Mus musculus: one gene and its partners. The protein of the gene in region 6 interacts with the protein of the main gene of each other region in a pairwise test. Links are inferred from orthologs where the notes say so. Each region holds a gene or a part of one and is shown on either strand. Other genes may lie near its edges.

Evidence for each region.
Region 1: the proteins of Max (region 6) and Mga interact in binary tests that used the Homo sapiens proteins (3 or more experiments, as listed by UniProt). The link is inferred for Mus musculus from reciprocal best matches to the Homo sapiens genes MAX and MGA.
Region 2: the proteins of Max (region 6) and Plekhf2 interact in binary tests that used the Homo sapiens proteins (3 or more experiments, as listed by UniProt). The two-hybrid records come from large-scale screens. The link is inferred for Mus musculus from reciprocal best matches to the Homo sapiens genes MAX and PLEKHF2.
Region 3: the proteins of Max (region 6) and Mxd3 interact in a two-hybrid assay, tested with the Homo sapiens proteins (4 studies listed by BioGRID). The link is inferred for Mus musculus from reciprocal best matches to the Homo sapiens genes MAX and MXD3.
Region 4: the proteins of Max (region 6) and Mxi1 interact in binary tests that used the Homo sapiens proteins (3 or more experiments, as listed by UniProt). The link is inferred for Mus musculus from reciprocal best matches to the Homo sapiens genes MAX and MXI1.
Region 5: the proteins of Max (region 6) and Mxd4 interact in a two-hybrid assay, tested with the Homo sapiens proteins (2 studies listed by BioGRID). The link is inferred for Mus musculus from reciprocal best matches to the Homo sapiens genes MAX and MXD4.
Region 7: the proteins of Max (region 6) and Unc45a interact in binary tests that used the Homo sapiens proteins (3 or more experiments, as listed by UniProt). The two-hybrid records come from large-scale screens. The link is inferred for Mus musculus from reciprocal best matches to the Homo sapiens genes MAX and UNC45A.

The regions. Positions count from the first base shown.
Region 1 is NC_000068.7:119,900,228-119,903,727, reverse strand, and holds part of Mga (MAX gene-associated protein), read right to left. Parts: intron 3,384-3,500; exon of another isoform or gene 1,385-3,383; intron 1,123-1,384; 5' UTR 1,056-1,122; coding exon 1-1,055. UniProt on the Homo sapiens protein: Functions as a dual-specificity transcription factor, regulating the expression of both MAX-network and T-box family target genes. Functions as a repressor or an activator.
Region 2 is NC_000070.6:11,004,820-11,009,117, forward strand, and holds the start of Plekhf2 (pleckstrin homology domain-containing family F member 2), read right to left. Parts: upstream 2,801-4,298; 5' UTR 2,574-2,800; intron 1-2,573. UniProt on the Homo sapiens protein: May play a role in early endosome fusion upstream of RAB5, hence regulating receptor trafficking and fluid-phase transport. Enhances cellular sensitivity to TNF-induced apoptosis.
Region 3 is NC_000079.6:55,326,932-55,330,966, reverse strand, and holds the start of Mxd3 (max dimerization protein 3), read left to right. Parts: upstream 1-1,235; 5' UTR 1,236-1,299; coding exon 1,300-1,369; intron 1,370-1,592; coding exon 1,593-1,698; intron 1,699-2,323; coding exon 2,324-2,353; intron 2,354-2,482; coding exon 2,483-2,597; intron 2,598-4,035. UniProt on the Homo sapiens protein: Transcriptional repressor. Binds with MAX to form a sequence-specific DNA-binding protein complex which recognizes the core sequence 5'-CAC[GA]TG-3'.
Region 4 is NC_000085.6:53,369,506-53,373,793, reverse strand, and holds the end of Mxi1 (max-interacting protein 1), read right to left. Parts: intron 4,253-4,288; coding exon 4,138-4,252; intron 3,605-4,137; coding exon 3,433-3,604; intron 2,222-3,432; coding exon 2,058-2,221; 3' UTR 501-2,057; downstream 1-500. UniProt on the Homo sapiens protein: Transcriptional repressor. MXI1 binds with MAX to form a sequence-specific DNA-binding protein complex which recognizes the core sequence 5'-CAC[GA]TG-3'. MXI1 thus antagonizes MYC transcriptional activity by competing for MAX.
Region 5 is NC_000071.6:34,184,911-34,188,944, forward strand, and holds the start of Mxd4 (max dimerization protein 4), read right to left. Parts: upstream 2,801-4,034; 5' UTR 2,664-2,800; coding exon 2,600-2,663; intron 2,519-2,599; coding exon 2,419-2,518; intron 1-2,418. UniProt on the Homo sapiens protein: Transcriptional repressor. Binds with MAX to form a sequence-specific DNA-binding protein complex which recognizes the core sequence 5'-CAC[GA]TG-3'.
Region 6 is NC_000078.6:76,959,449-76,963,453, forward strand, and holds the start of Max (protein max), read right to left. Parts: upstream 2,801-4,005; 5' UTR 2,578-2,800; coding exon 2,542-2,577; intron 2,532-2,541; exon of another isoform or gene 2,337-2,531; intron 1,842-2,336; coding exon of another isoform or gene 1,815-1,841; intron 1-1,814. UniProt on the Homo sapiens protein: Transcription regulator. Forms a sequence-specific DNA-binding protein complex with MYC or MAD which recognizes the core sequence 5'-CAC[GA]TG-3'. The MYC:MAX complex is a transcriptional activator, whereas the MAD:MAX complex is a repressor.
Region 7 is NC_000073.6:80,337,420-80,341,429, forward strand, and holds the start of Unc45a (protein unc-45 homolog A), read right to left. Parts: upstream 2,801-4,010; 5' UTR 2,701-2,800; coding exon 2,650-2,700; intron 2,294-2,649; coding exon 2,132-2,293; intron 1,932-2,131; coding exon 1,895-1,931; intron 1,741-1,894; exon of another isoform or gene 1,598-1,740; coding exon 1,422-1,597; intron 1-1,421.

The DNA of each region.
Region 1 (3,500 bases), on a different chromosome or scaffold from region 6:
GAAATCTCATGTTTCAACTGAGGAACTTCATGTGTCGAATCAGTATTCATAAATCCAAGAAAGTCTTGTTTTACATTATGGGGAGCCTTCTCTAAACTTAAGCTTGATGCTTCATGACCCCTTAACACAGGATCAAAATCACCTGAATGTATCTCTGACCCTTCACCTTCTGTAAGACGAACACGATGAGCAGGAGAACTAGAAACACTATTCCCTTCTTGATCGGAGCTATTCCTCTGTTTTCCTTCTCTCTGAGGCTTACTGCTCAACCCATCATCCCGAAAGCCTTTGGCAAAAGGATTGTAATCTATTTTCAACTGAGTAATCTGAATGTTCTGATAAGCTGTTACTGCAAAGAATTCAGTCTGGGGGAAAGTAAAAGTATGAACACCGGGGCCATTTAACTGTATCACTTCTGTAGCCTTTTCTGCTGGCACCAAATGAAGCCTTGGCAGATAACGATGCATAGAGTGCAAGATAATATGTCCTTCCTGGTCCAGTGTATTGTTAGTAAGTTTGAGTTTATAGAAAGACACTGGTTGATGCATCCAATAATGACCTGTAGAAGGAGATTCTGGATGAATGAAAACTCTCCCCAAAATATGGGGTTCAGCCTTCCCACTGGGTTCCCACCAACGACCATTCCACTTATACCGATGACTATCCACAGGAGATATGTCCATTACAAGGATATACTTTAAATTTGAATCTAAGCCTGTTATCCAATATCGACAATAAGGAAACATGCGTCTTCCCTGTTTGGTCAGAATCATCTCTGTGCTTCGATTATGGAACTCATTCCACATACTATTGTTATCAAGGGTAACCGTGATTTTTCCCACAGTACAATCAGCCGGAAGGCAAATTTTCTCTTTAGATTTTCCTGGTGATGACTCCCTACTCAACAAAGCACGGGCATCTCGATTAGTAACTAAAATTCCTTGATCAGTTTTGCCATTTCCTGGCTGCTTTAGGATGACAAAGAAGGTAGGTGCTCCTCCTGTCACTGTCCCTCCATCTTGATTGGCCAATATGATTTGCTGTTTCTCTTCCATGATTCCAGTGAGAAATTCAGTAGTAAGAAAACTGTAGTCAATTCATAGTTACAAATGCTTTTTCATCCTAAAAAACAAACAAACGAACAAAAAACAGAACTTTAGTCAACTCAGAATTTTTCTAACAAAAATACAACTGTAACTCATCTGGTAGAGATTTGCCTAGCACACATAAAGCCCTGGGTATTTCCAGCCCTGCGTATACCAGGAGTAGTGGCACAGACCTGTACTCTACACACTTGGGAGATGGAGAAAGAGCACAAGTTCAAAGCCAGTCAGTGGTACAGGCACAGATAAACTTGCCCATGTTCCAGTAAATAATCACCTACCCATGCTTATGCAAGCAACCCTACTTAAACTTAGTAGAGGTCAGAGAGATGGGTCAGCAGATCAGGCAAGCCAGTTGATCCAAGTTCAATCCCTGAACCTTACAAAAAAGTGAATAAAGAGAATTGATTTTTAAACCCTTTCCTTTGACCTCAATGTTCATTAGGTGACATGCAGACACATACATGCACATACTAAACATTTATCTAAAACCTTTAAACTCACTGACTCACAGACAGACGAAAAAAGGTTTCAATTGGAGAGGGAGAGAAGAAATGAGGGTGAGAAGTAGGGATGACAATTACTAAAATTCATGCAATCCGATGCAAGATACAAGTATGAAATTGCCAAAAAATAAGTACGTTTAAGGGAATTCAAGATCACCCTGGGATACATGAGAACCTGTCACAAAATGTTATCCAAAAACATTCCTAATTCTTTAAGACATAGCTTATAGCCTTCTTTCTTTCAATCACTGTAATGGTATTTGTTCTGGAATCCCTAATCATCCTTTTAAAAAAAATTAGGGAATAGGAGGAAGAGATGGTTTCTTAAGACTCATTATGTAGATCAAGCTAGCCTCAAACTCAAAACAATCTTCCTGTGTCTGACTGTTAAGTTCTGAGATTATAGGCATGGATCACTCCACCCAATTACCCTAATCATTTCTATCATCTTTAAACTAATTTTAATCTAATCTAACTAGCTAAGTTATTCATATTCTATCTAAAAAACAAAAAAAAAACAAAAAAATAGTAATAATCCTACAATCTTATACAAACTAAAATTATGTATTTATTTTAGGAAACTATTTCAGTGTGGTTCTCAAGACATAATCCTATAGATTAGAAGGCTAAGGCAAGATTACTTAAAGGTCAAGACCAGTTTAGGCTACACAGTCAGAGAGGTTTTTGGGTACTAGGGACAAAAGTTCCAGTGCTCATATTTAAGAGCTTTATCCACTGAGTCTTCTCTCCAGGTTCTGGTGCACTTAAACTACAAACTTTATGTTAGGTGAAGTATAGCTCAAAAAATTACAAATAGCAGGGTACGGTGGCACATGCTTTTAATCTCAGAACTTGGGAAGCAAAGGCAGGAGGATCTCTGTGAGTTCGAAGCTATCCTGATCTGCAGAGAATTAGTTCCAAGACAGCCAGGACTAAATAGACCGTCTCCAAAAAAAAAAAAAAATTTATAAATAGCCAGGCTTGAAGGCTCACACCCATTAAACTATCAGAAAGTTGCTGAGGCAAGAGAATTGCCATGAATTGAGATTAAAGGGGTGATGAAGTGTTACAGCTTTGAAGGGAGAAGTATTATGGCAGTAGGAAGCCAAGGAATACCACAAAGTCACACCACACAACGAACCTCACCTAAGGGAATTATTGGGAAAACCTTGGCTTGGGTAAGACACTGCAAAAAACTGAGCAGGAAGCAGGCTTTATATAAGATTTCTTGGGGGAGCTTTCCAGGGTGGCCCCATCTTGGGATTTTCACTTTGTAGAGCATAAAGGAACTGGGTCCAGCCATAGCCTTGTTCTGTGAGAAGAGTCTGGCAGCTGGAAGCCCTCAGGGGTGGGGCCTGGCCACTCTTGTGTTGAGGAGCTTACCTGGAGGGGATCTACTTTTTAATACTAGAGCCCTAACATCCATGACCATAGATAAACGAGGAGTTTAACTTGATATCTGTTTCTTTTGAGACAATGTCTCACTATTAGCTAGGCTGACATGGAATGCATTGTATGCCTATAAACCCAAACACCAAGGCAGGAAAATTAAAAGTTCACAACTACATAAAAAATTCAAAGCCAGTCTGAGCTATATGACACTCTGCCTGCCCCATCCCTTCCCCCAAAGGGGAAAAAAATACAAATTGCTTTATTTCAACTTTGTACATAGACATCTAATAAAAATATAAAAATATGTATGAAAAACAGGAAAAGTCAGAACTTGTAGACTTGCATAAAGTCTTTTCAAAAACTAAACCAAAAGGGTTGGAGATGTGGCTCAGTGGTTAAGAACACTAACTTAAGGTCCTGATTTCAAATCCCAGCAACCACATGGTGGCTCACAACCATCCCTAATGAGATCTGTCGCCCTCTTCTGGAGTGTCTAAAG
Region 2 (4,298 bases), on a different chromosome or scaffold from region 6:
ATTATCTGCTTGGAAATAGTTAATTGTGTCTAAAAAGAAAACACACACACAAATTCAAGCCCTTCATCCGCCAACTGAATGGAGTTTGTAGTGCGTAGGGCAGACGACGGAGAAGCTTAGCTATCCCACGGATAAATGACAATTTAGTAAGTTTATGAAGACTATTTACAGGGAACCATCTAAGCCTCCCCTGAGCATCTGCTCCATTCTGGCTTGCGGAAGATGGACAAGCAAATGGGACCTCACATGAGGCCTGCCGTCAAGGGCGTGCCATTACAGACCTAGGTGGTAGGTCTAGGACGCCTAGGGTTGAATCCAATGGAGAAAGAGGAAGCTGGTCTGCACAGTGGGTGGGAAAGCATCAAAGAGGGCAGGTTTGAGGGTAGATTTGGTTTTGGTTGGTTTTGAGACAGTCTCACTATGAATCCCAGATCAACCCCTCAGCAATTTGGCCTCAGGGTGCTGGGATTACAGCCGTGCTCCACTACACCCCCAGCTTCCACAAAAAGTTTTTAAGAAGAAAACAGTCAGTATCATACCCTTGCATTATCAGCTCTTTAGCAGACAGTTCTACTGAAGCCTGAATTAGGATAAGTGAAGAAACGAGATGGGCAAGAGAATGCCCACACAGGGATGAGTTATGCCATGCTCTAGAAACGATCAGATGGCTGCAGACTGACTACTAAGATTTGTGATATCAGGCTAGTAACTTCTTTCTGATAAATAATTTTTGGTCCAAAAAATAAATATATATCAAATGGAAGTGACCTGACAAGGGAGCAAAAATTAAAGAAAAATTTAAAGAAAGTTGGCATACCTAAGAAAGTACTTTTACCTACTAAACACTAAAAAGAGGGGCAGGGATGGCTCTGTGGGGTAAGGCTCTGAGGCCAGGCCTGACAGCCTCAGCTCTATCCTGGGGCAGAAGGTGGATGGAGAAGCAACTTCCAAAGTTATCCCTTTGACCTCCACAGTTGTGCCATGTGCCCACACAAATGTACACACACACACACACACACACACACACACACACGATATAATTAAAAATAGAGGGGTCAGAAAAGTGGCTCAGAAAGTAATGATAGCAGCTGGCCCCCAAGCCTGACAACCTAAATTCCATCCCCATAATCACATGGTGAAGAGAAGAAACTCAGGAAATTTGTCTTCTGACCTCTCTGCGTGAGGTCTGGGGCTGCGTGCCTCCTCCTTCCCCACATAGTAGAATGATTTTAAAAAACTAAAGAGTAAAAAAGGAAAACCACCACGGCTGTTTACGGCTTCTGCATTGTTAAGAGTCTTTTCAGCCCATTTAACATAATTTTAAAGCCGCCTTTATTTTTTTAAGGGTATTTATTTACTAGGCTACTTCATGCTGTACACCAGTTTCATTTGGGGGCAGGGGCGATTATAAAGAGCTTTCCAAATAAGCAACTTAATACCATTCACCTCCCAATGCTCTCATGACCCATAGTGATTAAAAATAGCCTGGGTTAATTCTGATTTAACCTGGGTCCTCCCACCCCTTAAGCTATAAAGGTACAAAGATAGGGGCTCAAAACTCATGCACCTTTAAGGAACGAAAAGGAAAAAGAATAAAAAAAAAACTGAATCGTCAAAATCACCCTAATCTGTTTGTTGTGGTCCTGGGGTTGTTTGTTTCAGACTCAAGCTGTAGCCAAGGCTGGCCTTGAACTCGCGGCAATGCTTCTGCCCTAGCCCGCGGGAGTGCTCAGAAAACCGGCATGAGCCAACACACTGGGTTATTTCACTTAGTCTTAAGACAACACATGCCTTAACGTTTCAACTGAACGTTCAACTCTAAATGGTTCTTTAACGAGTCTCTTAGGCAACATATTAAAACATAACAAAGAAGGCATTTACCAGTTTAATGTACTTGGGAGTCTGAATTACTGCTTAGGTGTATGTAACCTGAATACTAGTCATTTCCACTGCACACTCACACAACTTACTGCTTTAATATTCGAGGACTATACAAGGCTACTCGAGCAACTTGGGGAACCAGCTCTTGGCCTTTAATAACATTAAAAAAAAAAAAAAACTAGGCAAAAGATCATAAAACTTAAAAAAAAAAAACCCTTCAAGTAGCGTGTAAGCTACCGCTCCTATCTGAGCCAATTGTACGGTGCCATTTTCATATAAAGTCATAAAATAAACTGCTGGAGTCAGAGCGTGCCCCTGACGCCCAGACCCTGCAAAGTTTTCAGACCGCACGATCTGGGGACCCGAGTCCTGCTGCCCCACAACTTCGGGGGCGACGCGAGGTCCAGTCCCCAGCCGCCGTCTATGGTCCCGGCCCTGGCCCTCCGGGCGGCGTCCCGCGGACGGGCGCGGCGGGACCCAGGCGGTTCCAGCCCGAGCGCCGGCCCGGAGGGGAGCCGCCCGAGCGCCCCGTTTCCCACAGACCCCAACATGGCGTCGGCCGCCGCCGCCCGCGCCAACCCCTCCCCGCGCCACGGCTGGCCCGGGCCCGCGGGGATAGGCGCCCGCAAAGTTTCGCTTCTCCCTCCCCAGCCCGCCGCCGCCCGGTGCGTCCCGACCCCCATGGCACCTACCCGACCCCGCGCGGGCGGCGGCGCCGAGGGTGCGAGTCCTCCTAGTCGCCGACTCCGGGCGCGGACTCCGCCTGCTCCCCGACCCCAGCCTCGCAGGGTTGCGTGGGGCCCCGCGAGGCCGGCGCGATCCGGACGCGGCGGGCGCAGCCGCTCGCAGGTGACTTCACCGCCCCTCCAGTCGAACCCGACAACGGCCGCTCCGGCTGGCTTCCCTCCTGCGCGCGCACCGGCGCGCCCCCGCCCAAGCGCCAAACACGGGCACGAGCACACCCGCCCTGCCCTTTCTTCCCGGCTCCCTCGCCCCGCCCATCGCCTTGCCCCGCCCCTCCATCCCCACGCGACCGCACGGGGGGCGGGCTCTTCAGCGGAGGCCACACCCACTCGGGGGCCTCCCCCGGCGGGGTTGGGGAACGCGCGCCTCTGCAGAGGTGACGCGCGTCTGAGCCAGCTGAGGCTGGACTGGGTCGCCTGACCTGACTTTCCTGACTCGGGCTAGCCTTCGGAAAGGGCTCTTAAGCAGTCCGCGAAGTTCTCTGGAAGAATGGGCGGAAGCTGCCTCCACGCCTCCCGCCCTAAGGAACAGGAAAGGCTTTGCTTCTCGCCACCCAACCGCGTCTGCCAACCCCGCCCGGCTCGGCCATTCAGCCGAACACCTGCTGTCGCTTTCTCCCAAGCCAGGGGTCTGCGCTTACCGCACCCATGACCCGCAGGCTCCTGTGTAACCTTATGCCGAAGAACTCCGCTCTTTTCAAAACTTCCCCTCGGCCAACTGCTTCGCGTACCTAGAACTCGGTGCTACCATGACGCTGGGTTAGAAGAGCGTTTACTAGGCGCTGCGGAGAGATAGCAGAGGCATCTAGGCTGGCTGGCTGGGAAAAGCACACCGTTTAAACAGGAAAGGGGTAGAAATTGGGTTATTATTAAAGTTTTATTCAGGAATTTTCTTTTTAGCCTCCTGTTGAGCAGTTCTCAACCTGCGGATCACAGGAGTCGCCTAAGACCATCGGAGAACATATTTTGCATTATGATTCATAACAGCAAAATTACAGTTATGAAGTAGTAACAAATAATTATATGGTGGAGACCACCGCAATAGGAGGAGCTATATTAAAGCATTAAGAAGATTGAGAGCTGCCGGGCGGTGTTGGACACGCCTTTAATCCCAGCACTTGGGAGGCAGAGGCAGGCGGAATCCTGAGTTCAAGGCCAGCCTGGTCTACAGAGAAACTCTGTCTCGAAAAACAAGAAGAAGAAGAGGAAGAGGAAGAAGAATGTCTGTGAAACAAATACAGTTGTTTTAAATTAGTATCCAGAACAAAACTGGCAAAGGAGATCAGTTGTCGTAATAGGGATAGTTACAGGATTTCAATCGTATACACACACAATCTTTATGTGTGCTAGACTAAGCACACTCTAAAATCTTTTTAAATTTTAAGATTAGGAACTGCTGTGTTTCTAGTGTCATCAATAAAAATGTTGCTCTTCGAATGCCTTTAATCCCAGCACTCGGGAGGCAGAGGCAGGCAGATTTCTGAGTTTGAGGCCAGCCTGGTCTACAGAGAGTTCCAGGACACCCAGGGCTATACAGAGAAATCCTGTCTCAAAAAAAAAAAAACAAAAAAAACAAAAAAAAAAAAAAACAAAAAAAAGTTGCCCTCCCTACAACACACTTGTTTAACTTAAAGTACAAAGATGCAAGCCAGACTGTCTACACTCAAAATCTTG
Region 3 (4,035 bases), on a different chromosome or scaffold from region 6:
CATCTTGGGTTACATAGCAAGTTTGAAGCTAGATTGTTGCACATGAGATCCTGTGTCAATTCGCTCCTCCTTCTCTTCCAAGGGGAACGCACAAGAGCCTGACTGCTGACCGGAGCTGGGCAGACCTTCCGGTGTCTCTCTCCATAGCCACCAGGCCTTTCAGTCTACAAACTGTTACACAGTAGCCGCAACTCTTGGATTTAAAAAAAAAAAAAAAAAAAAAAAGGCGATTTCCCTTGGGAAGACAGCCTCTTCCGAAGGGGCCTGATTGGCACGTGACTGTGTTTTCCTAAGGCCATCTGTTCATAGTGCCCCCTCTCTGGTCCACTTGACTCTCAGAATGCCCCATCATTCCTGACTCATAGGTATGGCTACCCCTAGTGGCTATCCAGGAGCCTCCACCGGATGGCTAGCAGAGCCTTGTTCTAGATGCCACCCCGCCCCCCAGGGGCTGTCTGGTTGCAATGGCCCTAATGAGAGACGTATGTTTGCTTGCTGGCATTAGTTGTAACCACCGCAACGCTGTCTCACAGTACGCGAGTTGTCGTCACACCTAGCAGTGGCCGCTGAGGAGCTCCAGAACTCAGGGTGAGACAGTGTGTTTCATGCCCTGGCTTGGGAAGCTATCAACAGCCGACGTTTTCACGACGCCATTAACCTCCCTGCGAAGGACGGGAGAGCTAGGAGGGATTCCCATTCGAAGACCAATGAAGGGCAGATACGGGGCGGCCCGTACCGTGTCCTGCGTCCGCGCCCCCAACACAGGCGCGTGCGCATCGCCGTCTCTCGTAGCTCGCCCCCGCCCTCCTCGTCCGGGTTTTCAAATTTGAAACCGGCAGCTTTTCCCGCCCGAGTCGGGGCCCCCGCGGCGGGAGAAGGCGGGGCCGCGCATCAACCAACCCAGTCTCCGAGGCTCGCGGCCCGCCCGGAGGATGTGGCCGCGTCCCGCGCGCACGTGTAGCCCAGGCCGGCGCCTGCTAGGACCGGCGCGATTGCCTGTCGCAGGAGTGGGGCAGCTTGCAGCGCCCGGTGTCCGGGCTGCCTGACCCGGCGGAGGGTTCTTCCCTAAAGCGCAGAGCAGCAGCCCAGTTCAGCCTGGGCGGGAAGAGGCGGGCTGGGCTGGGCAGGGCGGGGCGGACGGGGTTCCCATGGGCGGGGCGGGGAGGGGCCAGGGCGGGGCGACCGGGGGCGGGGCGGGCCCTGTGCTTGTGGCACCGTGTCAGTTACATTGAAACAAAAGTGGTAAGGCGGCTGACAGGGCTAGCATCCCTAGCCCGCTGGTCGTCGGCTGTCGCCGACATGGAACCCGTGGCTAGCAACATCCAGGTCCTGCTGCAGGCAGCGGAGTTCCTGGAGAGGCGCGAGAGAGGTGAGGACAGACCCCGCGCGCGGGCTGAATTTGGCTCCCAACCTGGAGGGAGCAAGGCTGGAGGGCTGCTGGCGCGCTGCCGCCCGCACATCTATTGGAGTTCGCAGGCAGCCGGGCAGGGAGTGACTGGGGAAAGGGTCCTGGCGCCAAAAGCCTTTCCTTGACTTCGCCGTGCCAGGGGCTCCAGCTGACGGGCTGTGTTGCTGTGTTCTCTCTCTGGCAGAGGCAGAGCACGGTTATGCGTCCCTGTGTCCACACCACAGCCCCGGGACCGTCTGCAGGAGGAGGAAGCCACCCCTGCAAGCTCCTGGCGCGCTGAACAGTGGGCGGTGAGCAGGGATGGGGCAGTGTAGGGAGGGATGCTGGTCCTTAGCTGTCCCATCTAACTCTCTTCTCACTTCCTTGTTTGTTCTTCTGGCCCAGGTACCCTGCTCCATCCGCCTTTTCTACACACACACACACACACACACACACACACACACACACACACACGGCCCAGGTACCCTGCTCCATCCGCCTTTTCTACACACACACACACACACACACACACACATCACATCACATCACACAGGTCATTCACACTCCTGAATTGTCTCTACTACAGGCTTCTGCTTTTCTGTTCTTTTGCATATTCTGTTTCTTTAAAATAGTTTCCCCTCTACTGATTTCTCTGACAGGCTTATTTTTTGATCAAGTGTCACATCTGTCCAGGGAGCCTGTCTTGCCTGGCTGTCAGGGGCGAGACCCCGCAAGTACCTGGGCAAGTGTCCTGTATTTTTTGGTGTGTGTGTCTGATTCCTTTAGTCACTACCTGGGGTGTGGTGTCCTAAAGGAACCCAGGCCCTCACGAAAGGCTTCCTTGGCGCAGCTATCTGTAGTGAGGTCTGAGCTGCACAACAGCCTGGGGTTGAGGATTTGCACAGTACCCTCACTTGATCCCCTTGGCATTCACAGGTCTGTGCACAACGAGCTGGAGAAGCGCAGGTGAGTCCCAACCTGGCTCTCAACAGTTCCCGGTCTCAAGGACCATCTTTCTCAGACCTTTCCTCCCTTGCCATCCCTCTGGCTAGGGAGGTGGGGCTGGTACTGCCCTCCAGACTCCTTCCCTTGCAGGAGAGCCCAGCTGAAGCGGTGCTTAGAGCAACTGAGGCAGCAGATGCCCCTGGGAGTTGACTGTACCCGATACACTACACTAAGCCTCCTGCGCCGGGCCAGGGTGCATATCCAGGTGAGGAGCTGTCTCTTGTCTCTCTGCTTGGGAGACAGTGTGGTCTTGTGGTGTGGATGGCCTGGCTGCAGGGCTGCCTCCATTCTGTGGGACTTGAGACAATCCCGTTTTGTTCCCGAATCCATCTAATGGAAGAGAAGCAGACAGCAGGGCTGTTCTGAGGCCTTGTAAATGTTCCTTTTGTTGTGGGTAGTATTACTTAAGTCCTAGCTGTGAGACCTTGGATGAGTCTGTTTCCTGTTGGGTTCAGCAGGGAGTATACGGCTGGTGAAAATACTGTGCTAAGCCCTGCGATTCGGCAGACCGCAGAGGGCTGGTACCTAGCCTCTCCTCCTGACTTACTCCTCAGGGCTTTCTGGTTTGGGTTCTGCTGGTGGTGTTGAGTCAGGGGAGGTCTGGAGGCAAAGGACAGTGAATTAACTAGCTGGTTGGACTTGGCCTTGCTGCTGCTCGGGTGGAATTGCAGGCCCCCTGGTGGACAGGAGTGGATATGCAGACAACAAGGCCTAGGCTGTGCCAACCATGTGGGCGTGTTAGAAGCTGCCTTGGCAACAGAAGAGGATGTTTCCTGCTTTCTGGGCCCATGTGATGGAAGGAAACAATGAGAGTCAGACAGAGAGAGAGAGAGAGAGAGAGAGAGTGCGCACGCATGTGCGCGCACATGCGCGCACACACACACACACACACACACACACACACACACACACACACACACACACCTCTGAGAGCAGATGAGGGGCAGAATCAATCAATGCCTGACCTGTTTATCAGCGTTTATCATACACGGCTCTGTTAGGTTCTATTCAAGGGCCAGGGCAGTCAGTGCCATTGCTATTCAGCACATATTTGCACTGTCACATACATGCCTGCCTTCACCTCCAAGTGACCTGGTTCTCACGTAGGCTTACATTTCTCCCATGAGCTTGTCTGACCTCATTTTCAAGTAGATGAGCGTGCTACCCAGAGGGGCTGGCACCTGGGCATTAGCCCTTTCCTTGGGCAGCATCTCCTGAGTGGTCCTTCCACCAGGCTGCCTGCTATTCTGCATGTGCTGAGGCCAGCTCTAGCTGGGATCCCTGAAGGGACACAGCCTCACTTCCTGCTTCCTGTGAAACTCAAGCATCCCTAATGCGGCCTTGCTTTCCTGGGCTCCAAGTGGTCCCGTGACAGCTTGTAAAAGCTTCTCTCTTGGCCTACCAGAGACAAAGAGCTTCCCGGGGTCCCTCTGCCTTGATGGTACCCAGCCCCGTAGTTTAGTCTAGGTGAGGACATGCACCTTTCTGTACCTTGTGCTGAGTGTTCTGGCTTATTCCCCCCTTGCTTTAAATCATTTGTACGGGTTAAAGATCAAACCTAAGGCCTTGCACGTGCTAGGCACACCTTACCCCTGAGCTGCATCTCCAGCTGCTGTCTCTCTCTCTCTCTCTTTTTTTTTTTT
Region 4 (4,288 bases), on a different chromosome or scaffold from region 6:
TCTGAGTTTGAGGCCAGCCTGGTCTGCTAGGGCTAGAAAGAAACCCTGTCTCGGGACCACCCCACCCCCAACCCTGCTCTTAAAAAAAAAAAAAAAAAAAAAAAAGGAGAATAATGCAGCCACTCAATGGCTTCCATTTACTTTCCATGGTAAGGACAAACTTTAAGAGAAAGCTCAAAGACAGCCAATACACACACACATCTTACCTGTCTGGGAGTGACTGCAAGGGAAACCAGAGGGTTTCTGCATTCTGTCCTCAGCACCTCAAGTGCAACAGGTTTCAGCCGAGTGTCTGGAGGCATGCAGTGTTTCACAAACAGCTACTTCAAAGAACCTTTTCATTCAGACACAGCCCAAGCAACGGCGAAGTGCTTTTGCAGGCACAAAAAGAGCACTGGGTAGTGTGTGCTGGGACCTTATGCATGACCAAGGCGGTATGTTTCTTGTATGGAGACGTGCTATCCACGGAAGATAGCTCTGACATTAACACACAACTCGACTGCACTGCTAAATATGGTTGTTTTTATTTTCTTTTTCCTTGCCCAGCCCTATCTAAACATAAAATAAAACTACAGGACTGAAATTAACAACCCATTAAAATCAGCAATAAGTTATGAAAATCATAAAGCTTTTTTTTTTAAGTAATTAAGGGTAGTTAAATTATTTAAAGAATACAAAGTCCAAACAGCTTGGGGTAAGGTCTCCAGCAAGGCTTCCCAGGGAAAAGCAGTGGCCCAGAGGGAAACCTGAGAGTTTGAAAGACAGAGGGAACACATGACATCAGAGTGCAGGCTAGAAGTTCCACTTAGAAGATAACATTTCTGAAGGGATTTGTAAGAGCAACAATAGCACCCGCACAGTGGGATTGTGGGGGAGGAGACTGCCTGTAGAAAATCTTTACATTAAATGAGACAAGTGCTGAACGTAACTATGTTAACTAGGATAGTATGTCTACTATGGATATCAGATGGTTAAAGCTGGTAAAAGGGAGTGGTCCTAAAGAAAACAAAAACAGCATTGACCTCCGTCTACCCAGCCCAGACCTCGTCCGTCTGTCTGTCCTGCGCACTGTGAAGAGTGAGGCGTGAGGTGTTTATCATTATCAAATGCTGCATCAAAATAGATGATTTCCCCACGTGGTTTATTCCACTATAAAAGACATCTATGTTTTTACTTATGGACAAGCTTTAAAAAGATGTCATTTTGGTTTTCAACACATACAAACAGTTATCAAAATCTCAAATAAAAATGCTGCGGTGGCTCAGACCTTGGCTGCTATACTGCGTGCGCACCTCCTCAGCTCCGCGCAGACACCGAGGCACACAGAGCTTTTCCTCCTGTGATTCAGGCCGTCATGCATGGGCTGCCCCTACGTGGCCGAAGGGTGGCGAGCGGGTGGTCGGCTGCTCTAGAGCTAACAATGCAGGTAAGGTTAGCTGGCTTAGCATGGAATCCAACAGAAAGCCGGGCTGCGTCAGGGCCTCTTTCAAAAGGCTTCATGGAGTCTCTCCTTTTGTAGAGCACGATATGAGCTTTTTAAAAATTCATTTTGTTTAAAAGAACTGATCATCCACAGGCTTCATGATAAACAGAGGCTGAGTTTTAATAGCTCTTCAGCTATCTGAGATTAATGCCTGATTATCCTGCCTTTTCCTTACTCTAAGTGTGATTTTGTTTCTAGGGCCAAGAAGCTCGGGAAGGGTTCATAACCCTATCCTTAAATGTCTGCTCACCACCACAGAGTGAGCAAACTGCAACAGGAGAGTGAAGTCTCCATTGTCTCTCAAGTCAACCTGGTCAACTCAAGATAATCACGCGCATGGTTTCTGCTGCCGTTAGAAACTGTACTCTTTCCAAATATAGGAATATTTGTTCTACCAGGGAGGCTCTACCCCACTTTTCGTTAAGTATTTGCTTAAATACAGGTCTTCTGACCGTTTTGTTCAAGTATAGTTTTTAGTTTTAAAGAGGAGACTGCATCATGAACCCAATTTGAGAGCCGGTGTTGACTCGGCCCAGTGAGCGCTCCGCCCTGCACTGTTAGGCCATGCTGGGTCCTAGGACGCGAAGGAGAGTTTGACACTGGCACTGGAATAACCCTCGTCACTCCCGACACTCTGCAGGCTGCTGTGGTCGTCAAGGTCACTGATGCTGGTGGTACTGACACTGTCTGCTTCTCCATGGGAGAACTCTGTGCTTTCCACATCCACTTCAATCTCCTCTGCGGGAGGAAGAAAGAGAAAACAAAGGGGGGCATTAATAATCTGCATGTGCACTTTCAGAAGTTAGAGAGGTTATCCAGCAAGGTTATCCGTGCTCTATCAGGGACTCTCCTGCAAAGAGCAATCTGGTATACAGTGGTGGTCTTAATTTAGGCAGCAAGTTTACTAAAACCCTTTTGACGCCAGTCCGTCTAGACCTCCCACTAAAAGCGCTTGGCCTGTTTGGGAATTAGTACTTAATATTAAAAGATCCCAACCCAAGTGGTTTAACAACATCTGTTTTACATTAAACCAAAAACTAATTCACAGCTCTGTTTATTAATCAGGGTTGCTTTAAAGAGGTTGGGGTCATGGAGAAATAAAATTAAAGATAGAAAATTTATGTTTAGGCATCCGAATTTTTTGGTGGTGTCAACTCTCTATCATAGATCATAGGTGGATCTATGGATTTCTATGGATTCATCAACAAATTCTGAATAGTAACTAAAATAAGCTAATCATAAAGTAGGTTTAAGGGGTTTGCTTTTGATTTTCTTGCATGAAATATAGCTTCAAGCCATGTCCCTCTCTCATGGTAAGAATTCTGCATTTTCTTTCTCTCTTTCTTTCTTCCTTGCTTCCTTCCTTCCTTCCTTTCTCTCTCTCTCCTCCCTCCCTCCTTCCTTCTTTCCTTTGAGATCTGTTTACTTATGTATATGAGTATACTGTGCACTGTGGCTGTCTGCAGACACACCAGAAGAGACACTAGATCCCATTACAGATGGTTGTTGAGCCACCATGTGGTCGCTGGGAATTGGGAATTGAACTCAGGCAGGACCTCTGGAAGAGCGGTCAGTGCTCTAAACTGCTGAGCCCTCTCTCCAGCCCCCAAGAACTTGGCATATTTTAAACAGAACTTTTTCTAAGTCTAAAATTTATTTCAAAATAGAAAGAATGTATATACATATATGAAAAAAAATTGTGGTTCACAAAGGCACTGCCAGAGAATGTTAGGGTGCACAAAGCCCAAGCTGGGGGCTGGGAGTGCGGCTGGGCTCACTCTTCCTAACCTAGCACATGCTACTCGCTGGGTTTGCTCTCTAGCACCAAAACAACAGAAGCTAGACGACAGTACTACATTGGTTAGTGAGAGCCGATGCAGTGTCTACAGTCTCCCCGCCCCCACCCGTCTCGGAGACTCAGGACTTCCTTAGAAAGAGAAGCTGCCTACCTCGCTCTGAATCCGAGCGATCTGAAGAGATGGTTGATCCAATGCTGTCCATTCGTATCCGCTCCATCTCCTGAGGCCCCTGCAGCTGTTCCAGTCGCCGCTTTAAAAACCTCTGTTCTCGTTCCAAGTTCTCTAGCTGGTGCTGGCTCTTCCTCTCCGCTTCTTCAAGTTTCTAAAATGAAGATGTTTTATTCACACCTGTAGTCCAGTCTAGTACAGTAAAACTAATTCCTGCCACAAATACACATATGTGGGTATGTATGTACCCTTGCATATATAAATACTGAGAAACACTTGCGTTTTAAACATAAAAACAGTGGTCTTTTTCCTGTATGGATGCTATGTTACTTGAACAAATGAAGTGAACTATAAAAGTCTGTGAGGTAAGTTCCACAAAGAGAAACCTCCTGCAATGTGGTATTCAGTGGAAAATTACTGAGAGATAAAGCCAAATAACAGCATCTCCGCCAGAGGGCGCAGCTGCCTTCCTTCAGGGTATCGGAAAGACCTTCCCCAGCATTCTCAGGTCTAGATGGCCACGCTGTAAATTTTTTTCATTTATTCGCATCATGCTGCCCCACTGGATCGCTGGTGAGATTTTACAGCCGTTTCTCTGGAGGGCAGTTAGTGAAGAAGAGGACGGTCTAGTGAGCTGTACACGACACACACAGGAATCAGTGCAAATATGGAAAGAAAGATTCTCACCTTGATGTGTGCTTTGGCTTTGTTGAGCAAACCGAGTGTTGTGTGCCTGGTGCAGTCTGGGCCCAGCGGGATCAGAACTTTCAAGCGTTCTAAACACAGGCGCAGGTGAGCTCGTCTAAGAAAGATATCAGCCAATCAGCACAGCCTGGAG
Region 5 (4,034 bases), on a different chromosome or scaffold from region 6:
CCCTTCTCTCAGGAACTGCATTATATAGAATATGTAACCCTGAGACCAACTTTACCTTCCCTGGGAACAGTGACCCCATGGGCTGCTTGAACCTCACTGGCCAAGCCCATTCACCCAGACCACAGGTTCTGAACACTCAGGTTTCCAAGTGACTCTCAATCTAAGGGAATGTCACAGACCAACACAGGCTTCTAGGTCCCCGGACTGCTGCACTTAAGAGCAGAAAGATCAGGACACACCCAGACCAAGGCCCTCCCTGTGCTCTGCTGTTGCCCACCTGTCCTTTCCTCTGCTGCTCTAAGAGCCTGGATCTGGGATCTTTTACCAAAAAATGTGTACACTCTGCCTGGCCCATCATTCTTTGACACCATCAGGGTACTAGCTCACCTATGTTCCCTCTGGCCCTGGATTCCTCAACTCTTCCAAAACCTGCTGCTAGTCACTCAGGCTGGGCCAGAGCCTCAGAATCCCTCCACAGGCCAACCAGAGCCAAGAAGGCAGTGCAGAAACCCCTTGATGTCCTCTGGAGAACCTGTCTTTCAGTTCTCTAAATGGCAGCCTGACTGGGTCTACAGGTCTGCTAGTTTATGTAGCAGGCTAGGGTCAGCAGGAACCTTAAGTATTGAGGAGTCCCCTCACCTCCTGCACCAGAGGATACTACTTGTCTTGCCAGCTCCCAATCCCTGGACTACAGGGCCACTCTAGCAGCATGTGTGTTGGCCTTTCTTGGAACTCTTTCGGAGTCCAGAGATCCCGTGGGGGGAGGGGGGGTATTGTGCCTGAGGAGAGGCCATCGTTGTGTCAGATGCTGCCTGGGCACCACCTTGATCTGACCCTTCTGCTTATATTCTCAAAGTACTTGACCCTAAAGGCACCCTCCCATGGAGTCACTGCCATTAGAGACCTAGCCATCACTCACCCTAGCCTGCTATACCAGGGCCTGTCCTTCATTTTGCCAGGACACAGAAGGTTCAGAACTGCCCTGCCACATCTGAAATCCCAGCTTCTCAACTGAGCTGGCTGAGAATAGCCTCTGAGCAGTGACTGGGGAGGGGAGGGCTGTGTCTGCCACCCTAAGGCTTCAGGTCTTGAAGGAGTACACTCTGTCCAAGGAAGCTTCAGGGGAGGTGCACCCAAGTCCAGTCAGAGAGGCCCTTTGCATCCCCTGCCCCTTGCACCCAGTTCTCCCCATCCCAGAAGAAGATGGAAGGCTAGGACCTCATCCAGGAACAGGGTGGTTAAGCAGCCCTACCCAAGTAACTGAATCTGTCTATGCCTTGGCTTCCTCGGTTGTAAAATGGAGGTCAAAATAAGGCTTCATTTACAAGGCTGGGTCAGATTCTTACTTGTGTATATGGCAGAAGCATTCAAGGGCCTCAGCTCAGGAATGCTACCATTCCTATCAGCTGTGGGTACTCCATGCCACAGGAAGCTGAGCTCCCAAACCTGGGGTTTAGGGCAGACAGAAGCCGGGTCCAGGCCATCTCACTGTGGAAGCTTGGGGCAGTGAGGCCTCCAACACACTTAAGTCCTTCTGCAAACTGTTCAAAGCAAGAGACCAGGGGCTGGGACTCAGGCCGTTGGTAATTCAACCTGTTCTTTGCCAGGCCTAGGACACCACAGAAATGGGTCCTTGTGCCAGCCTCTCTGTTTCCCAAGAACAGACAGGCCACAGGAATGAGCCGCACCCTCTGCCAAGGGGCCCTGAAGCCCCCAGCCTGCTAAGGAAGCTCTCAGACTGACCACACAGGAGTAGCTGGGCCAAAGTTAGCCCCTAGACAGTGTCAGGTGTGCCCTGGATCCCACTGCAGCCAGGAAGGTGGAACCTTTAGCAGTCCTAGCCATACCTAAACCTCAGCTTCAGGGCTTCCTCCAAACACAAGGCCAAGGCAAACAGTGTAGTTGAGCCCTGGAACTTTTGAGAGAAATAGCTCCCTGCAGCTCTTCGCGACAAAGCCAGCCCTATGCTTGTGGTTGGAGTTTCCTTGTCAATAAGCTGCGCAGGACGCTTAAGTAGCCAGAGAGAGGTCTCTGTCCAGGCTCCTGGGGATAAGGTGCTGGGTCTAAGAGCAAAGCCAGCTCCGAGAAGTGCAAGGGAGGGAGGAGTCCCCAATTAGGCCCAAACTAGGGAGTAGCGGTCGGCACCAACTGACAACTCCTCTCCGGTCTGGAAAAGTCCAGAACGGCCCTCGGCGAGCGCGGCCGCTGTACGCGTGGCACTGTTTACGGCGGCGGGGAGGCGCGGCCGCGGGAAGATGGCGACGCGCGGGCGGGGCCGGCACCTCCTCCAGGCCGGCCGCCCGGGTGCGCGCAGGACTGTACTGGGGACGCAGAGAGGACGGGGACACTCGGGTGGGGCCGACCCGAGCTGGCTTGGCACAGCGCGCGGGGGTGGGAGGTGGGGGTTGGGGGCGGTACCTGTTGTTCGGGGCCTTGCGCACCAGGCCGGCCGTCTTTGTTTTCTTCCTTGCGAAGTCGCCGTCGAAGGGCAGCACGGAGGCGTAGCCGTGCTCGGCCTCTGCGGGACAGACGGTGCGGTCAGCGGCCCCCTGCGCCCGCCCGCCGCCCGCCCACCCTGGCACAAAGGGGCGCGGGCTACCTCGGTCCCTACGCTCCAGGTACTCGGCCGCCTCCAACAGCAGCAGCAGAGAGTTCAGCTCCATCCTGCCGCCCGCGCACGGGACGGCGGCGGCGGCGGCTGCCCGGCGCGCTCCTGCCGGCTCTGCTCGCCGCACGCCCCGCGCCTGGCGGCACACCAGCCCGACTCGCGGACTCCAGCGCTGGGCCGCCACCCTCTGCCTCAGGCCCTCAAATTGACACATAAGTCGAGCAGCAGTCGACGCAGCCAATAGGTGTGGGCGCTCCGGCTTAGGGGGCGGGTTCTTGTCTAGCCTTGCCCAATAGGGACTGGCCGAACGCCTCGGGCAGAGCTGAGAATGTTGACAGATGCGAAGCTTGGCTAGGATAGGCTGGCTCCAGTAGTAACAATTTAGAAGCCCAAGCTTAGCAACAGCACGTGGTGGCCCAGCCCCAGTGCTCGCTGACTGGCGGCCATCGTGCATGTTAAGTAGGCATTGCACGCCGATTGGGCCAGAACGGTCTATGTAAATTGAGTCCGCGGACCAATGGCCAGTGACAGGGCGTGGGGCCAATGAGGACGCCCGGGCAGGACCGGTTGCCGAGAGGAAGCACTGTGTGGTGGGACTGCTGCCCGGCCTACGCGGGGGCCAGGAGGACGTGGACCGTGTCTCGGGAGACACCAGGCAGGATGCGCTGCGGACACGCGCCCTGGCGCTTTGTCGTGCCCATGCATGTCGTGCGCAACGACCTGTTGCCCGGAGTCAGTTGGTACCATAGTCTCGGTGGAGGACCAGGCTTGGGGCCTGATAGGGGCGGGCGCTGGGATCTCGCTAAAGAACAGCAAAGGACACCTGTCTCTGGCAGGAATATTGGCTTCAGGGAAGGCTAAAACTTGGAGACAGGGACGCAGACCATTGGAATCTAAAAGCCTCTCAGATGTCAGACCCAAAGTAGGCAGGATCAGCCATCAGGAGTAAAAAGGAAGGCCACCAGGGTTAAGGGAGAGGCACCAAGAGCTACTGACACTACTGAGCAAGAGGGATCCGTGAGTGTCTGTTTGCGGTGCTTGGTCTGAGGGTAGAGCCGTGCCAAGAGCCAGGCTATGGTGACAAGAGGGTGAACTCTTCAGCAAACTCCTGGCCCTAATGACCCGAGGCCCTCATGCTGGCCTATAGATGCATGGGGGACAGACAGCTCAAGATGCCCTAACACCATCCTCTGTATCCATCCTCTCCCACCCCTTGATCCTCTCTCTGTTATTAGGTTGAGGACAAAATAGCAGGCTGGAGAGTTCTGTGGGAAATAAGGTGGCTAGATAGCAGCTCTTAAAATGGAAGGAAGGTACTGTAGCAAACAACAAAGATTATTAGCATTGAATTTACTTTAGGACCAAGGTGGATGCATTGTGCACACTTCCTTGTGGCTCTCCATATGCCCAATATGCAGATAAGGAA
Region 6 (4,005 bases):
GAGAGTTCTTGTTCGTGTGAGGCAGAATCTCATGCTGTAGCCCAGGCTGGAACTCATTCTATATCCCAGGCTGGCTTAAAATTCAGGGAAGACTCCTGCCAAAGCCTCAGAAGCCCTGGGCTTACATACTGGGCCACAAGCCTGGACTCTGTGTTGTGTATGTTAAGGCAGGGTCTCAGTAAATTGCTCGAACGTTTGATCCTCCTACCTCAGCCTCCCCAGTAACTGGGTTTACCGACCAGAACCACCAAGCCTAGTTGCATCCTGCAAACTCTACAAGTTCCTAAACAGCTGTGTCATATATCGTTTAAAAATCAGGTAACTAGAAGGTAGAGAGATAGCTCAGTGGGTAAAGGCACTGAGGTCAAACCTGATGACCCTAAATTCAATCCCCAGACCCATGTGTTTGAGAGAGAGAACTGAATCCAAGTGGTTCTTATGACCTTCACATGTGAGCCATCACATACACGTGACCACACAACACTCACACACACATACATACATACATACACACATACATACATACACACACACACACACACACACACACACACACACACACGTTAAGTAAATGTAATTAAAAAAATCAATTAAATAGGCTGAGGTTGAAGCTCCATGGCAGAGGGGTTGCACAGCATGCGAGGGCCCTGGGTTCGAATCCTAGCACAGTCAAAAGTTAAATGCACATAAACACACCCAAAAAAGTAATAATCTGTGTTTCAAGTATTTTAACATTTCTCATAAACTTTGAGGTTCCAGGGATAGGGCTCAGCCCTGAAGGAAACAAAAAGATCTGGCAGCACCGGGCAGCACCGATCACTCTCAGGTAGCAAGCAGCAGGGGCAGGTGGCTACGGACTTTTTAGAAGGGGTGTACATCCTCACCTCTTCCTTCCACCCTTGACTAGCTGTTACCTGGTCCTCACGGGTAATGAGGACCTCACTCCATTCTCTTTCCCTACCATTTCCAACCATCAAATATTCCATCTCTCTCTCTCTCCTCTGGTTGTATTCTGAGTCTATTCCTTCTCTCCTCTCTCTCTCTAATCTATGCCTATTTACTCCTAAGTCTCAGACTCCAGACAAGAAAGCATGGGGTCAACCCAAAGCCAGAAACACCTACAAAAAAACCCCATTAATATAAAAAAATCTAATAAGTTACTGATAACATTATATGGATGCATCCATCACCTTTCAGCAAAGCTGTCTCTAACAGTGCCACTCTTCAACATTTTTTTTCTTCTCAAATGGAAAGTCAAGACCACAAAAAGCTGTGCCACTTTCAATATTTAACTTCTAGCGCCTCTCTTTTTTCCATTGTCGTTTTTTGGGGAATATCATGCTTTTCTAGATCCTAGGAGTCTGCAGTAGTCACATGACCTTGGCTAAAGGCGATTATTACATGTGCCTGCAACTTCACACAACTATGGAGATACTGCTTAAAGTTTACCTGCTCCTAAATAAAACCTAGCCAGTTTGCTCTGAAATAACACTACCATTCACTTCAGAATGCCCTTCCATTTCTCACATATCTCCGCCGCACTGAACACTACAGAACAACTCAGTTCACAGCACAGGCCTCCTCACTTGCCTGCCTACCTACCTACCTACTCACTAGAATCTACCACCTGAATATCAAGAATCATGTGGATTTGCAACGCCCCCCTCCTCCAACCCCAACAGACTCAACCTCACCTTAGCGGTTAAGAGGAGTTTACAAGAGTATTAAAAGTAATAGAACGATCTCTTTTTCTGACTCCAAAAAGAACCAAAACTGAACGGAAATGAAAATGAAATGGAGAGTAGGAGACGTACCGCAGATTGAAACCTCGGTTGCTCTTCCTGGAATAAGAGAGAGAGAAAAATAGAAAATACAGAAGTTATTTTCACACTTCGAATTCAATAATAAGAAAGAAAATGCCGGCGGCGGAGGAAGCAGCGGGTGGGGAGTCAGTCTGACACCCCTCCCTCCCTCTTTCCCCTTCCACTCTCTCCAGCGAGATCCCGTAGCCTAGTTGGGGGGGGGGGGGGGGGGGGTTTCAGGCACTGCCCCTCCTTCTGGGATCCGAACCGGACAAGAGGGATCCGGAACACTGCCTGCTCTCCCTCGATCCCTCTAGGGCGTCAGAGCACTCCCAGCCCCTTCACCCCAAGGATCAACCGGTCACAGGAGGAGGGAGCTCATGGACCCAAAGAGCAAGAGCTGAGCGCTGGTCTCCTTGCCCAGGATCCGGAAGGATAATGGGATCCCCAGCCGGGCAGAGCGGAGAGGGAGGCCTCGACACCCTCCTCCACGGGAGAATGTGGGGGTCCCAGAGGCCGCGTGTCTGCTCCCACCTTCAGTCCCAGGAGGCCTCTCCGGACAGGACTGGAGGGGAGCGAGCCTGGAGCGCGACGCAGGCGGTCCCGGCCCCGGGGGGAGGGGGAGAAAAGGACGGAGGCGGCGGCGACCCGACCCCCTCCCGCCGTCGCCCGGCTGAGAACCCTTGCCGCTGTCCCCGCCTGACAACCCGAACGGAAAGGAAGAAGCCCCAGGACTCACGTCGCTCTCCACCTCGATGTCATCGTTATCGCTCATTTCCTACGGCCCAGGGAGCGGCCACTGCAGCGGCGGCCGGGGAGGGGAGGGGTGGAGGGAAGGGGGAAGTCACCGACAACAACAAGCCGAGTGCCCCCACGCACACACTCACTCACTCGCTCACTCACTCACACACACTCACGCACACACAACACGGGCGACAACCACCTCACTGCAGCACCGGATCAACGGCGGCACGCACGCCCGATCGGCCCCCTAACACGTGACCGGGCTCACCGCGCCGGGGTAGCTGAGACTTGTAGTCCTCGAGCGTCGGATGGGCGAGTGAGAGAGAGCCAGAGAAACTACAAATCCCATCAGGAACCGCACACAGGCTTCGCCAGACTCGCTTGTTGACAGAGCTCAGGGCGCCTGCGCCCCGGGTGTTGGCAGCGAGAAGTGGCGCGGTGCCTCCCGGGAGATGTAGTCCACAGACCGCGAGTTGTCAGGAGATTTTCCTCCCCAGGCGGCGGAGAGGCTGCTGGGAAGACAGGACACGTGGAGGGAGCTGGGCTCCTGGAGCCGGCCACAATTCCGAGCTCTGGGCGCCCGGCCCAAGGGATTGGGTGGAGGCTCGGGGGTTTGGGGGCGGGGGGAGAGAAACTGGCTGCCAAAATAACACTGTCTCTTCTTGGCTAGACTGCTTTTACATTGTCTCGTTTAATGCTTGAGTCGCTCCACTTGCGCCCTGGGGCGTAACCCTCCCGGGAAGGAATCACGCTGTGGCTGACCAGGGGGCGCGGTCGAGATGCCCACGCGGGCCCTCTGTTATCTGGGTTTAAGGTGTTAAGAGACATTACGGGACAAACTAAAGGACCGATTTCGCCGGGTGTCCTTCATCTCAAGAATCTTGCTTTCATTTGTCCGAGAGAACTGTCCTTGCTGGGCTTGAGTGTTTACAAAACCTCTCGTAGGTGCAAGTAAAACCTACCTTCTGTTTGTTGTAGCCGGAGCAGATTAGGGAGTGCCCCAGTTTATAGAGAACTTTAATTAACTGCAAAAAGAATCAAAACGGGAAAGTTGTGCAGCTCCCTGTCCAGTTAAGGTCATACATAATGCAACGAGGTATGAAGTGTAACTACATTGTCCCCACCCGCATTTAGCTAAGTATCTAATATGTGGCAGCCCAGGAATGGCATGATGTGTCCCCTCAAAGACTTCACAGCTTTGAAAGCAAAAACCGGACTACCCTGTCACCATTTTCAGTGTGCACCAGGTCCTCAATGAAACAACAAACAAACAAACAAACAAACAAACAGTAATAATAAGGTCATCTGAGAAATTAACCAGACTACCACTTTACAATTGATCTTCAAAATGAGTGCGGTCTTGAGTTTGATTTATGAGTTAATGTTTTTTGAGTAAAAAATCATTTAACCCCTGACTATTGAGTGCAGAAACTTGGTGGTGTAATACAATCTTTCTGAC
Region 7 (4,010 bases), on a different chromosome or scaffold from region 6:
AGGTTTTGAGGTAGCTGCTAACACTTCTTTTTGGTGTATGTGTGTCTGTGTGTGTGTGTGTGCGCGTTAAAACAGGTATTTCTTGGAAAACCTCTTTAACCCCATTCTTTTCTTCCAATGTTACCATTTTGATAAACACAACACACACACACACACACACACACACACTTTTTTCTTTCTTTTTAAATTAGCCCAGGCTGGTCTTGAACTCACAAAGATCTGTCTGCTTCATTCAGCTCCTGAGTGCTGTGATTAGAGGTATTCACCACCAGGCCTGGCCTTTAGTGGACATTGTTTTTTGTTGTTTTTTCAAGACAGGGTTTCTCTGTGAAACAGTCCTGGCTGTCCTAGAGCTCACTGTGTAGATCAGGCTGGCCTCGAACTCACAGAGACCTGCCTTTCTCTGCCTCTGGGATTAAAGGTGTGCACCACCACCCCTGGCTTGATGTGCATTCTTAACAGGCTTTTATTTTTATTTTATTTATTTAGTGACAGGGTTCCTCTGCATAGCCCTGGCTGTCCTGGAACTCACTCTGTAGACCCTGCTGGCCTCTAACCCAGAGGTCCGCCTGCCTCTGCCTCTCGAGTGCCAGGATTAAAGGCATGCGCTACCACCTGGCTTTTAATGTCAAGCTTTACTGACATTTTTCATTGGACTGTCACGGATTCAGCCAGATATTCTCAGACAGGCTCCACTGTTTGGATCGTTCCCTCATGAACATAGTACTTTCCTACTTAGATTACCGCATATTTTGCTTTTCCATCTACCAATCAGCAGAGCCCGCGTCTAGTCATATATGATCCATTTCTCAGAAACAGCACTGACCTAGTCTGTTTAGGTTTTTTTTTTCTCTTCATTGCTGGGCATTTAGGCAAGTTCCAAGTCTCTCTTACTATAAACAAGGCTGAAATAAAAGTCAGACGCCTGAAATTCCAGCCCTTGGGAGGTGTAGGCAGGAAGTCAAGGCTATCCACAGCTACGCAGCCAAGTCCAGGCCTAGCCTAGGTTACATGAAACCCTGTCTTAAAAAAGTAAAACTAAAAATGTTTTTGGAAGCAAGAGAATCAGGGGTTCAAGGCCAGCTTCGGGCAGGTAGTGAGTCTAAGGTCAAGAGGGGCTAACTAGATCATCAGATATTCATTTACAACTTTGATATGCTAAAGCACTACAGCCTAACAGAGCCAAATCACTTCATACCTTCGCCAGGTACCGTAAGAGTCCACGCACCCACACCACTTACATACAAGGACAAACTTATACATACACAGAAAAAAACATGCTTTAAACTTGATTTCCTCCATCAGTCTGAGCATTATTAATTAATGTGTATTTGTTACCAGTAGCTCCTCTCTGGAGTACTGTGTCTACATCCTTGTCCCAGACCCAGGCAACTCCAACTTCTCTTGGTACCTTCACATACCTTCTCCTGAATCTGGCCCCCAATGTTCCTCAGCGACTCCTGGAAAACTTTGTTCTTGGGTTCTAGGCTCACACATCTCTTCAGGTCAAGGACAGCCTGGTCCAGGCGGCCCAGCTTCTCTAGGGCTTGGCTTCGGCGATAGAGTGCTTTGACATCCCCACCGTCCTTTTCAATGGCTGAGCACAAACAGGAACTCTATCAGCACCCAGGAGGCCACCGTCTCCAGGCAAGAGCAGTAGGGATAGATCTCGAGGGCCAAAGGAAGATAGGGGTACGAATGTGGAGCTCGGTGCTTCAGCCTCAGAAAAGGTGAGGGCGGCTGCAGAAAAGGAAAGGCCGAAGAAGTGGGAAAGCAAGTAGAAAGACGAGTGACTGGGTCCAGAGGAGGAGAAAGGGATGGCTCGGTGGCCCCAGAGTCCTTTCCCACCACAGAAGACCCCATTGCTCCATATGAGGACCCACACCCACCCTACCTTTAGACGCCTCTGATTCTGCTTTGCTGTAATCTTCCTGTAAGAGAAAGATCAGGAGCCTGAGAGTGGCAATGGCACCCTTGTTTTGCTGAACCACCTGATCCCCCACTACCCACGCCTAAAGACCTCTGGCAATCGTGCGTGGCTAGGAAATGCCCAACTGGTGCACAAACAGCAGCGGCTATGGGCAATCCCAGGCCCAGGTAGAACCAGGTTAGAGCAACCCGATCCCCTCACCAGCTTGAGGTGGCAAGCAGCCCTGTTTCGGTGCAAAATGGCCTGGTCCTGGGGCGTCGCGCCGAGACTCAGGGCCTGTGTGTAGGCGGTCAGGGCGCCCTCGTAATCCCCGCATTTGAACAGCTCGTTGCCCTCCTTCCGCAGCTGCTCGGCTGAGCTGGCCTGGAGAGAGAGAGAGAGAGAGAGAGAGAGAGAGAGAGAGAGAGAGAGAGAGAGAGAGAGAGAGAGAGAGAGAGAGAGGGAGAGAGAGAGAGAGAGAGAGAGAGAGAGAGAGAGAGAGAGAGAGAGAGAGAGAGAGAAGAGAGAGAGAGAGAGAGAGAGAGAGAGAAGAGAGAGAGAGAGAGAGAGAGAGAGAGAGAGAGAGAGAGAGAGAGAGAAAGGCGTTGGGCAGAGCAGCGCGCCTGGGAGAAGAGCCGGGTCTTGGCCGAGTCCCGTGAAGGGCTAGAATAAGGTGACGGCGACCAGGTGCGAAGGCGCATGTGTGAAAGGGGAGATGGCACAGGAGAATCAGTACGCACCCCGGGGTCGGAAGGTCGGGGCTCGGGGGTCTCCGGGCCACTCACAGTCATCACGAAGCTAAGCTCCAAGAGCCAGTGCAGGCGCAGTCTTTAGAGCAAAGGTGTCCCTGGGATCCGCGAGATGCCGGCGACTGCCCCGCCCCAGCAATGCGTCAGTGTTACGCTAAACAAGGCGAGGCCAAGAAGTGGTTGGGTCTGTGCAAGGGCGGGGTACTCGCGTTGCGCAGGCGCAGGCTCAGGCTCAGGGCTGCTTCACGAGCGCCTAGTCTGTTCCCACTGGAACCTGTAGAGGGCGCGCGGAAGAGGCTCTAAAGGAAAGGCGGCGGCAGCCGCTGGAGTTTTGTTTTTCTCTCCGTCCCCGACCACGGCAGAAGTGCACGAAATCTGTAGTCATCAGTGCCATCAGCAGTAGAGTGTAGATGCCCAGTGCTAGGAGCGGGCCTGGACCCCTGGGGAGACAGGAGAGACTCAAGGTTGTCTACTGGCTGCTACAAGTCAGGGTTTGCAGAGCCCAGAGTCCCACGAGAGCAGGGGATAAATACAGATGCATACACATATTTTGCATACAAATCTGGGAGCTCGCAAGTACCTTGAAGACAAACGCGGCAGATTCAGAATTAAACCTCCTACTACAATGTGTCCAAGATTAACAAATCCTCTTTATTAACACCGTCCAAACCCCTTAAGACAAAGCAGCTTCTGTTACTTGTTTTCATTTACAGCATTGGTTGTAATTATGATTTAGTGACTTCCTCTCCACTAATCTGGAAGCTACAAGTCTCCCACTGCAGAATTCAAGGACAGTGCCCAAGACACGGGAGCACTCTGCCAGTGTTCTGCGAATCCGGGACTAGAGTTCTTACCTGAGGATGGGTGGTGGCTGAAGCGAAGACAAGTTAACTTGGTACAGGGCCTCAAATTCATCCAGGGTACAGCAGGAACCCCCGGCAGCCTGCAGGTGGCAACAGTAGGCTTCCTCGGGAGTGTCAGAGAGGCGCGGACAGAAAAAACCAGGGTAGTGGCCGCCTTCTGCATCCCGTGTAGTCTGGCACAAATGGGGGTGGTGAGCCAGGGCTGGAGAGAAGCAAGACGTCTATAGAGAAGGGAGGTTACCCACATCCCCTTCACCCTGCTCAAAGTGCAAAATGGGGTCCAAGTCCCAAAGAGAAGAGAAGAGGAGGCTCTCTCCACCCCTCACCATCAGATCTCCCGTACCCCAAGTCACCCTCAGAGGATAGGGAAAGTATTATACCTGAGAGGTCGGTTGGCTGGGCAAGATTCATCCAACTGAAAAGCAGTCCCCCACACAGGCCTGTCAGCAGGAGCCCTGGACCTCTCCCCTGGAGGCCCATAAGAAGTCG